2 linked regions of the Danio rerio genome follow. The protein of the gene in region 1 interacts with the protein of each later gene in a biochemical or structural test. Links are inferred from orthologs where the notes say so. Each region holds a gene or a part of one and is shown in the gene's direction. Other genes may lie near its edges.

Region 1 (6,219 bases):
ACAGATTTGTGTCCTGATATGTCACAAAAACACGTACACACACACACACACATACACACAAACACTCAAACTTAATGTACTGAATAAAATGAATTCCTCACAATTTAAAACCAACACAATCCAATAGAAAAGGCTTCTTAGTTAAAGTCTCTTTTGTCTAATGTTTTTTATGCAGAAAAATCACTTATTCTTATGGCCTTACCCTACCCTTACACCCAACCTTCGCAGGAAACCTGTGGCAAATTTTAAATATCAAAAGACCCTGTTAGTTGGTTAATTTTTTTAATATTTTGGATTACATTGAGGTGCTTTATGTCTTCATAAACCACCTCAATATTGTAATGCATTATACAAATCGTTATCATTGTCATTATACAAATTTCTGTCTTTTTAAACCACCAAAACGAGTACACACACATTCACTCACTAACATGGCATATTAATTAACAAAATAATTATGAATGTTGAATGTCGGCAGTTGGTTTAGGTTATATTGTTGGTTATATAAGTGGTTTATGTAAATATTGCCATATCTAATTTAAAAAATTAAATGACAGTCATGTAATACAGGGTTTGGTTAAAATAAACAGAAATTTCATGTATGATGCTCACATCACAATTTTATAAAACAGAACATGACTCAAGTTGAAATCCTTGTAGTTTCTTTATGGAGTAGAATATCTGGTGCTTCGAGCACAGCATACATATTTCCAGCACATATTTTCTGTCGCATAATTTCTATTTATCACGATTTCTCACAACTTGTGTGTTTTCCTGGGAGAGTCAGCATGAACTGACTCAAGACCAGTTTCATGAACATTCAAAACCGTGTCAAGATCTGGATTTTTGTTAAACAGTGGTTCAGTTTCGCTTTGTTTTTCACCAAAAACCTCATATAAACCTCATATACAAAAACCTATCATATAACTTCGGGAACATATTGAAACAACATGAGGGGGAGAAATTAATCACAGAATTTTAATTTTTGGGTGAACTAGTCTTCTAAATCAGAGAGTTGTAAAGACTTTAACCACATGTAAGAAGGTTTATTACTATATTTAAGATACTCTGTATTAAATGTTGCATCCCTGGGACTTTGTTAATATAATGCAATATGTTTTGCCGGACTGAAGTGGATCCATGTTGGAATGAATTTGCTGTGCTTTCACCAGTGCCACATCACACAAATGATCCATCACAAGAGTTTACTTAAGCTAAGCTAAAACTGATCTAATGTTATCTCAAGGGAATCCTTTTAGTCTGCACTTTGGGATATATTTATAAAGGTTTGGGTAACACATTAACCTATTTAGATGAGTTTCTTTATCCTCTTGTGGTAGATTCTAAAGTGATGTGAAATTGTACACATTTTTTTGTTGCCATTTCTTTACTTAGTTCACATTTTTCTCTCTTTTCCATTTAACTCTGCTCATGCCTCGTCATGTGTTGTGCCTTTGGCCGTTACTCCTTTATCCTTGTGGTTTACTTATGTCTGACCTTAACTGTCTAGAAGAAACCACTGGTGTGTGTGTGTTTAATGCATCGCCAATGTGTTTGCTGTTAGCAGTAGATGTGTAATAGCTGTTGTTGTTGTTGTCGTTATTGTGTAGTTCCTGCGGTTCATTAGGCAGATTGGCGAGGGCAGTGTGACTGTGGAGGACAGAGCAGGAAAAGAGCACACTGATAAAGCACAGGCCAAAGAGGCAGAGCACTGGGCCTCCAGCCTCAACCAGGTACGAGCCCTTCCCAGATCCTCCCATAGAGGACACACTGTGTGAAGGGTCACACTGCAGACCCCTGGCAGCCATCTTGGCTCTTTTCAAGCTACTTGGGCAACGTTAGGCATGGCTTTATTGCACACCAAAATCCTTGCCAATGTGCAGTGCTGGGTTTTAAATCATTCGCTGTGGGAAGCACAGTTTTTGATAGTTTCATTTGGTTTAGAGTGTGGAGGGTACATACAGTGGGGTTTGAGACCACATTTGAAATTTTTAGGATTCAAAGTCTGTTTAATAATGTATTTTTTTTTTCAATTATATGAATTTCTTTTAAGGATTTCTTTTTAATAAAAAACAATTACCGGTACACTCACCGGCCACTTTATTAGGTACACCTGTCCAACTGCTTGTTAATGCAAATTTCTAATCAGCCACAGACATGGCAGCAAATCTGTTCATTTAGGCATGTAAACAAGGTCAAGACAGTCTGCTGCAGCTCAAACTGAGCATCAGAAAGGGGCACAAAGGTGATTTAAGTGACTTTGAACATCGCATAGTTGTTGATGCCAGGCGGGCTGGACTGAGTATTTCAGAAACTGCTGATCTTCTGGGATTTTCACACCCAACTCTAGGATTTACAAAGAATAGTGCAAAAAAGAGAAAATATCCAGTGAGTGGCAGTTCTGTATACACATGCCTCGTTGATGACAGAGGTCAGAGGAGAATGGCCAGACTGGTTCGAGATGATAGAAAGGCAACAAACAGTAACTCAAATAACCACTCGTTACAACTGAGGTATGCAGAAGAGCATCTCTTAATGCACAACTTTGAGGCAGATGGGCTACAGCAGCAGAAGACTACACCGGGTGCCACACCTGTCAGCTAAGAACAGGAAACAAAGGTTACGATTCACACAGGATCACCAAAATTGGAAAAATGTTACTGGTCTGATGAGTCTCCTTTTTTGCTGCGTCATTTGGATGGTAGGGTGAGAATATGGCATCAACAACATGAAAGCATGGATCCATCCTGACTTGTATTCCCAGTTCAGGGTGGTGGTGTTGATGTGTTGATGTAATGGTGTGGGGGATATTTTCTTGCCACACTTTAGTGCCAATTAAATATGACCACAGTGGACCCATCTTCTGATGGCTACTTCCAGCAGGATAACGCACCATGTCATAAAGCGCAAATCATCTCCGACTGGTTTCTTGAACATGACAATAAGTTCACTGTACTCAAATGCCACCACAGTCACCATATCTCAGTCCAATAGAGCACCTTTGGGATGTGTTGGAATGAGAGATTCGCATCATGAACATGCAGCTAACAAATCTGCAGCAACTGCGTGATGCTGTTATGTCAATATGGACCAAAACTTCTGAGGAATATTTCCAGCCCCTTGCTGAATCTATGTCAAAAAAGATCAAGGCAGATCTGAATGTAAAAGTGGATCCAACCCGGTACTGGTAGGGTGTACCTAATAAATTGCCCGAAGAGTGTATTTTACAAAGACAATAAAGATTTTGCAAAGTTTCAAAAGAGTTATATGTCCTACAAATTCTGTTTTTCAGTTAAATGCTGTTGATTTTTTACAATATGAAGCCTCACCACTGTTTTTCAACACTGATTATATAAAAAAGGTCTTTTAAAGAAATATTTCACCCAAAATCAAATTTTTTTTTTTTCCTGCGCAAAGTTTTTTAAAGGATGTTATAAACATACATAGTAGGAAACACAAATATATCTTATTTTGTTTTTAATCAAGAAAAAAAAAGATTTAAACTGGTTTGGAACAAATCAAAGTTGAGTAAATAATGGCAGAATTTTTTATTTTTGGGTGAACTATCCCTTTAAGTGTTAAACCTCCATATTAGAATGATATTTGCAAGCTTTTGTGACACTGGAGTATTATTTTGCCATCACAGATTAAAATGACAATTTAAAATATTAAAATAGGAAAGAGTTGTTTAAAATTATAATTTATTTTAGCAATTATTATTATTATTATTATTATTATTATATTTGTAAAATGAAGCCTTGGTGATCATATAATATCTTTTTTCAAAACAAAACTTTAAAAAAAATCCCCAGTGGTAGTGTAAGCCTTTTTATGATTATTTTTTATGCATATTTTTATATATAAATATAATCTAAATTAAAAAAAAACTTACACCATTTTTTAAATCTGCCCCCACTGTGATTCAAGCCAAGTCCTACACTTTGCTTGTAATCCTGCCTTATTTGTAAATCTTTTTTTTTATCCCAAAGTTCAAACAAGCACTTTAGTGTAACTCTGATATTTCCTTCTTCCTTTTGTCTTGAACGATCTTTTAATGGCATCCTGACCCCTACATCTAAACCTCTTAACCTCCATCCATACCTAAATCCTCCTGCTCTCTTAACAATCCCACACCAAATGCACACTGTCCATAAATGCCCACCCTCCCCGCATTCTTTGTCCCGCACTGGCCTTCCAGTTTCTGGAATCAGGGGAAGGGACTGTGCAAGTGGAAACGCAAGAGGGCAAAAAGAAGAATGACAAAATGAAAGCTAAGCAGGCAGAGCAATGGGCAACTCTCGTCAGGCAGGTAGGACAACAGTGACCCATTAGTTTTCGTCTGTGCTATTAGGCTTGTCATTTCTGTTATATTAACTAGCCCCCGCTGACCAAACTATTGTGCCTCAAAGAAAGCTTTAATTTAACAGCCCTTTTAACATGATTATCGCTGCAAGACTCCAGGCCTGTAGAGCTGATAGTGCCCTGCTCACATTGCTTTTCATTTGTGCCCAGCTTTGACTTTCTGCAATAGAGAAAAGGTACACTGAGCAATGCTTTGCTATTGTAATGTAGAGAGGAAAGGCGAGACGGATGAATGAGGGTGAGATTTTGCTTTTCTTCCTCTGCTTGGTCTCCCGAGCCCTTTTTCCATTACATCTTTTCGCTCTCATTAATCACAGTGTGTTGTCTTTTTGTTTCCCCCCTCTCTCCTTTCAGCTGAGTAGTGTTTAAGCATTTGCAGGCTCTGTGGTTTGTTATGGAGGCTGTTTAATGGTCTGGCATGTCGCTGTGCTTGGTAGGTTTCGGCAGAATCGGCGGAGTCTTGGGTCGATGAATTCGCCACCTACGGGCCAGACTTCCAGCAGGCCAAAGCAGCGGTCGAGGTGAGCACAGTTTAGGCTGTAAATACTTGAGGAATTGTATTTGATTGCTGTCATTATAGGGAAAACAAGATATTCTGAAACATGTGGGAAACAAGCAGTTATTGGAAATTTTGAAACAAAAATGACTGTGGAAATCAATGGCTGGTTTGTTATACACCTTCTTCAGAAAATCTTCCAGAGAGAGAGAGAGAACAATTGGAGGGTTGATGGCATTACTTTTATTTTTGAGTGAACTGTCGCTTTAAGTGTTATTTTGGGGTATTTGGGCTTTTTTGTGTAGTAATTACACATTTCTGGAGTCTGAATTGTTACTTCTTACAGTTTTATTTAAACTAAACTAAGTACTAGTTGTATATGAGCAGTTTCAGTGTTATGAATGTGAGATCTGCAGTAAAATCTTAGTAGGGCTGAACAATATATTGATTAAGTATTGATATCACAATGTGTTTCTGCAGTAGTCACATTGCACGATTATGTTATTTATTAAAGAGTAAAAGATAGACATTAAACATTATTTTTGGTTATTATTTATACAATCATAGCCATGTTATTTTACACATGATTGTTCATTTTCTGCACTTGAAGGGCTCTATTTTGACGATCCATGCGCAAAGTGCAGGGCACAAACACATTAAGGGCGTGTCAGAATCCACTTTTGCTAATATAAAGACGACAAAATCCGCTTTGCGCCATGGCGCATAGTCTAAAAGGGTTGAGCTTATTTTCTTAATGAGTTATAGGTGTATTTTGAGAATAAACCAATCAGAGTCTCATCTCCCATTCCCTTTAAAAGTCAGTTGCGTCGAGCCATCGCAAAATTGCTATTTACATGACAGACTTTGTAAGTGGAAAAACTGAGCGCTTCACTACCAAGAAAAAAGTTCAACAGAGCATCTACAGCGCGAGAATGAGAGATGAGCCACCTTATTATTTAGGCTTACTTTCACTTTCGCTTTAATCGATAGGGAAACCTTGTATGCACAGAAATCCATTAGCCTATAAATAATTAATTTTGTTTGCTCAGGTAACTGGAAGGGAAAAAAATTATCAGAACATCCCTAGAACAAGAAACTAAACTGAAATGTGGACAAAACAAAACACTTACCCAACACTAATTATTGTTATGGTCCTCAGCATCACACTGTCATTAATTGAGTAGATCAGAGCATGTGCATTCAGTCACATTTCTGCACAGCAAACCTGTCAAATTTTTATTGACGAAATGAACACGGCTGCAAAATATAAACTTTTTAGCAATTTTCATTTTCTTAAAACCTGTCACCCTAAAGTCTGTAGATTAGATTAAGATTGTTTTGTTTTGGCTTTAACTCATTGG
Region 2 (6,821 bases), on another chromosome or scaffold:
TCAATGCGGCAAGACATTTTTGAAGCCGTCAGATCTGATCAGCCACCTCAGAGTTCATACAAACGAGAAGCCTTATTCGTGTTCGGTGTGTGGAAAGAGTTTCACACATCAACAGTATTTAAGAAAACATCAGAAGTTCCACTCTGGGGTGAGAGAGTACGTGTGCTTCGAGTGCGAGAAGACTTTCATTAGGGTTGAAGAATTGAAACGGCACCAGAGGATTCACACTGGAGAGAAGCCTTACAAGTGTTCACACTGCGACACCAGTTTCAGTCAGATACAACACCTCAGAACACACCAGAGGATTCACACCGGAGAGAAACCTCACAAGTGTTCACACTGCGACAAGAGATTCACTCAGTTAGGAGTCCTGAAGACACACGAGAGGATTCACACCGGAGAGAAACCGTACACGTGTGATCAGTGCTTCAGGAGTTTCACATATTCATTACAGCTCAAGAAACACATGAAAATCCACACTGGAGAAATGCGGGAGATGTCGGAAGAGAGTGTTGATGGTTGAGTGTGGAAAGTCTATCCATTTGTCTTCTATTTGATTCTGTTATTATTTAAAAAAGTTTCTGAGGTCATGGGCGTTGTTAGGCCTATTTTAGGGGGGCTGTAGCCTATAATTCTATTCAGCATCTCAAAAACTCTTACGATTAGCTCATAAACTAAACACTAAATTATCGCCTGTCCCCTTTAAATTTGATATGAAAACGGTCGAAGAATCCGGCTCCTCCCCGTCTTTCGTTTTTCATTTGATCAGCAAACCACAGCTGTGCAGAGATATTATAGATACACTTGTATAACACGTACACCAATGTCATGGAGGAGCAATCGGGTTTCCCATCTACAGTTTCATCGGTGCTCACCTCATAATCACAGCTGTTTCCTCGAAAAAGTAGCATTTATTGAACATTCATTCATTCATTTTCTTGTCGGCTTAGTCGCTTTATTAATCCGGGGTCGCCACAGCGGAATGAACCGCCAACTTATCCAGCAAGTTTTTACACAGCGGATGCCCTTCCAGCCACAACCCATCTCTGGGAAACATCCACACACACATTCACACACTATGGACAATTTAGCCTACCCAATTCACCTGTACCGCATATCTTTGGACTGTGGGGGAAACTGGAGCACCCGGAGGAAACCCACGCGAAGGCAGGGAGAACATGCAAACTCCACACAGAAACGCCAACTGAGCCGAGGTTTGATCCTGCGACCTTCTTGCTGTGAGGCAACAGCACTACCTACTGCGCTACTGCCTCGCCTCATATCGAACATTTCGCTATTTAAATTTCAAAATGAACTACCAAAATAAAACACATTAAAGTGCCTGTGGCATTAACTATACCATACAGTCTTGCTCAGAAAGGATTAAACACAGTGACAGAACCACTTAGTGAATGTACTCATTTAAACTGCCAGAGTCACTGTTAGAGATGGAAACATCAAGTGTTGTGGTATTTTAAAAAAGCCTTATTTATTATGAATCAGATCATGAAATGTGTGAATTAGCCTGTAGTTTTAATGTTTATATATGTTTAAATTCACAGTTTAATTAGAAAAGTGGCTGTTTTGATTTTTTTTAAACATGGAAGCAAAAAATGTACTTGATTATAGAAAGTGGTTTTTACTACAGTAAACAGGTGTTTTAAGCCTATTTGGCTCATTCACAACTCAAACGGCTATCTAAACATAATAGTTATAATAACTCATTTCTAATAACTGATTTATTTTATCTTTGCCATGATGACAGTAAATAATGTTTTGCTAGATATTTTTCAAGACACTTCTACAGCTTAAAGTGACTTAAAGGCTTAACTAGGTTAATAAGGTTAACTAGGCAGGCTAGGGTTATTTGGCAAGTTATTGTATTAAGATGGTTTGTTCTGTAGACTATCGAAAAAATATAGCTTAAAGGGGCTAATTATTTTGACCTTAAAATGGTTCATAAAAAATTAAAAAACTGCTTTTATTCTAGCCGAAATAAAACAAATAAGACTTTCTCCAGAAGAAAAAATATTATCAGACATGCTGTGAAAATTTCTTTGCTCTGTTAAACATAATTTGGGAAATATTTAAAAAAGAAAAAAAAATTCAAACAGGGTTTAATAGTACTGATTGCAACGTTATGCATGTATGTATGCATGTATGTATACACACACAATTTAGTTTATCCAATTCAACTATACCCGCATGTCTTTGGACTGTGGGGGAAACCGGAGCACCCAGAGGAAACACACACAAGTTTGAGGAGAACATGCAAACTCCACACAGAATTGCCAATTGACCCAGCAGGGGCTCAAACCAGCGGCTTTCTTGCCGTGAGGCGATCGTGCACCCCACTGCGCCGCTGTGACGCCACAGGTTGATATATGCAAGTGATTCATTTGATTCATCTTTAAAGGATTTATTCATATGATTCCTTTGGTTCCTTTTTATCTAAATTCAATTGTCCTATAAAATGTAAAACTCTACGAAATACACACACAGATTGTAGGTCTACAGTAGATTATCATGAACCCTCCAGCACAGCAGGTGTCAGTACAAACCCGTTTTATTGATGTTAAAGCCCCAAGAAGAAAACGCGTCTGACAGGGAAAAAAAAGTGTTGCGACAGATGATGACCGTTGACCAGTGCGTTGATTTCCAGCACTGTAACTCTCCTGAATTATTTTGTTTGGTAAAATGAGCACCATTGTCCTCATTAAAAGGCTCGACTGACGTACCTGTAGGAAGGCGTTATTGTTGTTTGCAGTAGTTTTCCTCATCAGGTGTGATGGCGGAGCGAGGAGCTCATTTAACCACAGCTGCCCCGGCTGAAGATCGACCCTCAGTGTTTGAGGTTTTAGCGCAGGACTCTTTAATGACCGCTGTCAAACCCGCTTTACTGCATGCTGTCAAGGTATGCTCGCTTTTTCATCATACTGTACTCCTGCATTTGTACTCCTTGAGTTTTGGACTGTGACGATAAATAGCGCATGGATAAAATAAATAGTCCATTTTCCCATATTATGCTCCATCGTTTACTTTGTGGCTTCTTTTTTACGGTAAAACTATCAGAATTTATGTAGGCGCATTATTACACGCCATTACGGGGATGCTGACTGAAACATCAATGACAGCATCGTGAGGAAGTTGCAATCAAATACAGTGTTTAGCAATGAGGCGAAAACAGTAAGATCAATATGAAACTACGTAAAGCGTCATTAGGAGGTAAAGCAAAAAATTGCTATTATTGGGCAGGGTTTCACAGGAATATAAGGATCCCTAGATAGTATGTCAAAGAAAGAAGATCAAAAGGAACTCAATTTAGGGCAGGTGTAAAATGTGCCTGTCTGGTTTCTTCATAAAGACTATGAGTACACTTGTAAAACACTAGTGTAATAAATGTGTCCAAAACATTATTTGGAATGTATTTCCTTTGTATTATTAATAATAATCTATTTAAAATATTACTTGTAGAATGATTCCTTTCTATTAAGGTAAAGTACAGTAAATGTATTATTTATACGTGTATATTAATTACATATATACAGTTCTCAGCATATATGAGTGCACACCTCACAGATCTCTCAGTTAAATTCACATTTTCAATAGGATGCTTTACAATATTTGTGCAAATATATTAGATTAGTCAGTTCTGAAGCCAAATTTGGAGCTAATCTAACAAAAAACTTATTACAGTCCAAAATTGGTACATACAAATGTATGTTTGGGAAAAACCATTAAATAAAGATAAAAAAGAGAAAAAATCAAGAGAAACAAAAAAATCTATAATATTTTGTTAAAATTTTGTAATTTGTTTATATTTTCTGCAATATGTCCCATAAATAATGTATCGTCCTTCCATTTCTAAAGATGTTCGATGACTAAAGCATTATTTCAATAAACATATCGGTTATGTACCAAAATATATGACCGTTATTCTCTTAAAAATGGATTAAAATATTAATTTTGCAAATGGGGTGTACTCATTTATGTTGAGCATGATGTATATATATATGTGTGTATGTATATATATATATATAGTGTACGTGAGTGCTGTAAAGGTATCAAAATGTAAAATTGTGTCGTAAAATCTAAGGTCTGCTGCAATTAACACTATTGGTGTGTCTAGCGTAATAACCCCAGGGGTCCCAATCCAATGGAAAAAGAATTAAAAGGCTAGAGCCTTTTTTTTGCATGTTGTTATTTTATGCAACTCATTCATTTTCTTGTCGGCTTAGTCCCTTTATTAATCCGGTGTCGCCACAGCGGAAGGAACCTCCAACTTATCCAGCAAGTTTTTACGCAGCGGATGCCCTTCCAGCCGCAACCCATCTCTGGGAAACATCCACACACACATTCACACACACACTCATACACTAAGGACAATTTAGTCTACCCAGTTTACCTGTATCGCATGTCTTTGGACTGTGGGGGAAACCGGAGCACCCGGAGGAAACCCGCGGGTTTTGCAGGGAAAACGCAGGGAAAACATGCAAACTCCACACAGAAACGCCAACTGAGCTGAGGCTCGACCCAGCGACCTTCTAGCTGTGAGGCGACAGCACTACCTACTGCACTACTTCTTCGATTTGATGCAACTAATAAATACTGTTTTTATCTTCTGTAGGTTATGGCTAAAATATGGTTATTCTAATAGTTTAATAACATATATGATATTTTTGGAAATCACCAAGCAACCCCTCCTCATTGTCTCATGACCCCCACTTTGGGAACCACTGGTGTATACTGCTAGCTCCAAGTAAAGCCAGCAGGCATAAGTCTCATTTAAAGAGATGGTATCAGATTGGTTTATGGTTTCACAGATGCCAGAATTTTTGCAGTATCAGCAAGTATTCCTGATACTAGTATCGGTATCGGAACAACCCTAAAAATATCCTTAAAAAATGTAACTACCGTATTTACATTCCACAGATTCTCGCTACATCTAACCCTGCCCGCTATGGAGTTCTCTGGAGGAGGTTTGATGAGATTTACGTAATCCTGGATATGTTATTGCAGCATCACTTCCTGTCCCGCACCAGCGCCTCATTTTCAGAGAACTTCTATGGCCTGAAGCGTGTGGGATCACATAGTGCCCGTGCTGCCCATTTGGGACTGCGGCGGAGGCAACACTGGCGCTCTTTACTCCTGCTGGCCCTCATTCCATACCTGCACACCAAACTGGAGAAAATCCTGGCGCGACAGAGAGACGAGGACGATTTCTCCATCCGCTTGCCGCAGTCCTTCCTGCAGAAGATGTACAGGGCGTTTTTGGCTGCGTATCCTTTCGTGTGCATGGCGTGGGACGGCTGGGTCTTCTGCCAACAGCTTTTGTACGTTTTCGGCAAAACACGGACACATTCTCCACTTCTGTGGCTTGCCGGGGTTAAACTGTCATATCTCACGGCTAATGACATACACAGTCTGGATCTCAAGCCTTCAGGCCCAGAATTGAGCTCCGGTCAAAGGTGAGTTTATTTAGTGCTTTAATTTGCAAACTATATTGCTGGGTTCATACAGCCATGGAAAACCTGGAAAAGTCATTTTGACATGGCATTTTCCAGAAAAGTGCTGAAAAATCAGGAAAAAAAACACTAAATTTAGGAAAAGTCATGGAATTCTGAGATGGCATTTCACAGAAAAGTTTTGGAAAATCAGTAAAACCCACAAAGTTTTGGAAAACTCATGTAAATATTTTTAACTAATATCTGTATATTGAATATAGGTTAGTTGTCTTCTTTTTCTGTCCCTGGGCAATCCCATACTCTAATATTCTTAGTGCTGCGTATACATTATCTATATAGAAAAATAAATGTAAACTAAATAGATTTTTGCCAGGGCAAGGTACTGTCTCGCAGCGCTCAACCTGAAAGTGAAAACTCTAGTGACCAGTTCATGAACTAGGGCCCTCACTGTTCTGGCACCCTAGGCAGCCACCTAGGTCACCTCCATGGACGCGCCGGCCCTAATTTTTGCATTTTGTTTGTTATGCTGTTATCAATTCGAACGTGCATTGTTTTTCTTATTATTTACCAAGTATACTTAAGACATTATATAAAACTTTAGGTCAAGACAATTTACTTGAAAGTCCATTAGAAAGAAATGAGACGTATTTATGTGTTCACGTCAAATTAAATTCTCAAGCGATTTTATATACATACAAAGCATATTAAAGTTTGACGTTTCAAATAACCGTTGTTGCAATAAAATGAAAAAATATTGTGGACATATTGTTCAGCTGTCATTCATCATAACATTTACACAAAAATTAAAAGATAAACTTATTTTGACCTGTACTTCTTAAAGCATGTAATATAATAAGTATGGCACAGTAAAGCCTGGTTTATACTTCTGCGTTAAGTGATCGGCGTGACCCATGGCGCATGCAACGCACGTAGCCATGCATTTATACTTCTGAGCGCTGTTTCTGTTGTTCTACAATAACACTTCCGATACACTAGTTGGCAGTGAAGTGTAAATGTTCCTCCGGTCGAGTCTCTTCGCTAGTGTTTTTTTTTAATGCTTCCTTAATGTACAAGTGGTTCAAACTCGCTCATTTTGAGGCAGGAACCGGCGGACGTGCAACAACTTTAACCATAAGGTAAACACAACAAAACTTTTCATCTGAAGCTCCTTCACGGGACTGGACACTTGTAAACAGTCGCTCCAACAGACTCACGCGGTTCTCGGTCCCACCCATACTCGTCAGTACTTCCAAGCTGACCAATCACAGAGCTTGCGCTATGCGCTGCTGCGACGTGTAGTTCGATTTTTTGAGAGGTGCAAAACAGCAACGCCGACAGCCACGGCGAGGGCTGTGC

What was found.
Region 2: the proteins of pex5 (region 1) and pex12 form a complex in vitro, tested with the Homo sapiens proteins (2 studies listed by BioGRID). The link is inferred for Danio rerio from reciprocal best matches to the Homo sapiens genes PEX5 and PEX12.

The regions. Positions count from the first base shown.
Region 1 is NC_133191.1:12,429,107-12,435,325, reverse strand, and holds part of pex5 (peroxisomal biogenesis factor 5), read left to right. Parts: intron 1-1,610; coding exon 1,611-1,733; intron 1,734-4,198; coding exon 4,199-4,309; intron 4,310-4,799; coding exon 4,800-4,883; intron 4,884-6,219.
Region 2 is NC_133180.1:67,480,836-67,487,656, reverse strand, and holds the start of pex12 (peroxisome assembly protein 12), read left to right. Parts: upstream 1-2,598; 5' UTR 2,599-2,788; coding exon 2,789-2,914; intron 2,915-4,932; coding exon 4,933-5,468; intron 5,469-6,821. Other genes in the region: uncharacterized protein, read left to right, coding at 1-523. UniProt on the Homo sapiens protein: Component of a retrotranslocation channel required for peroxisome organization by mediating export of the PEX5 receptor from peroxisomes to the cytosol, thereby promoting PEX5 recycling.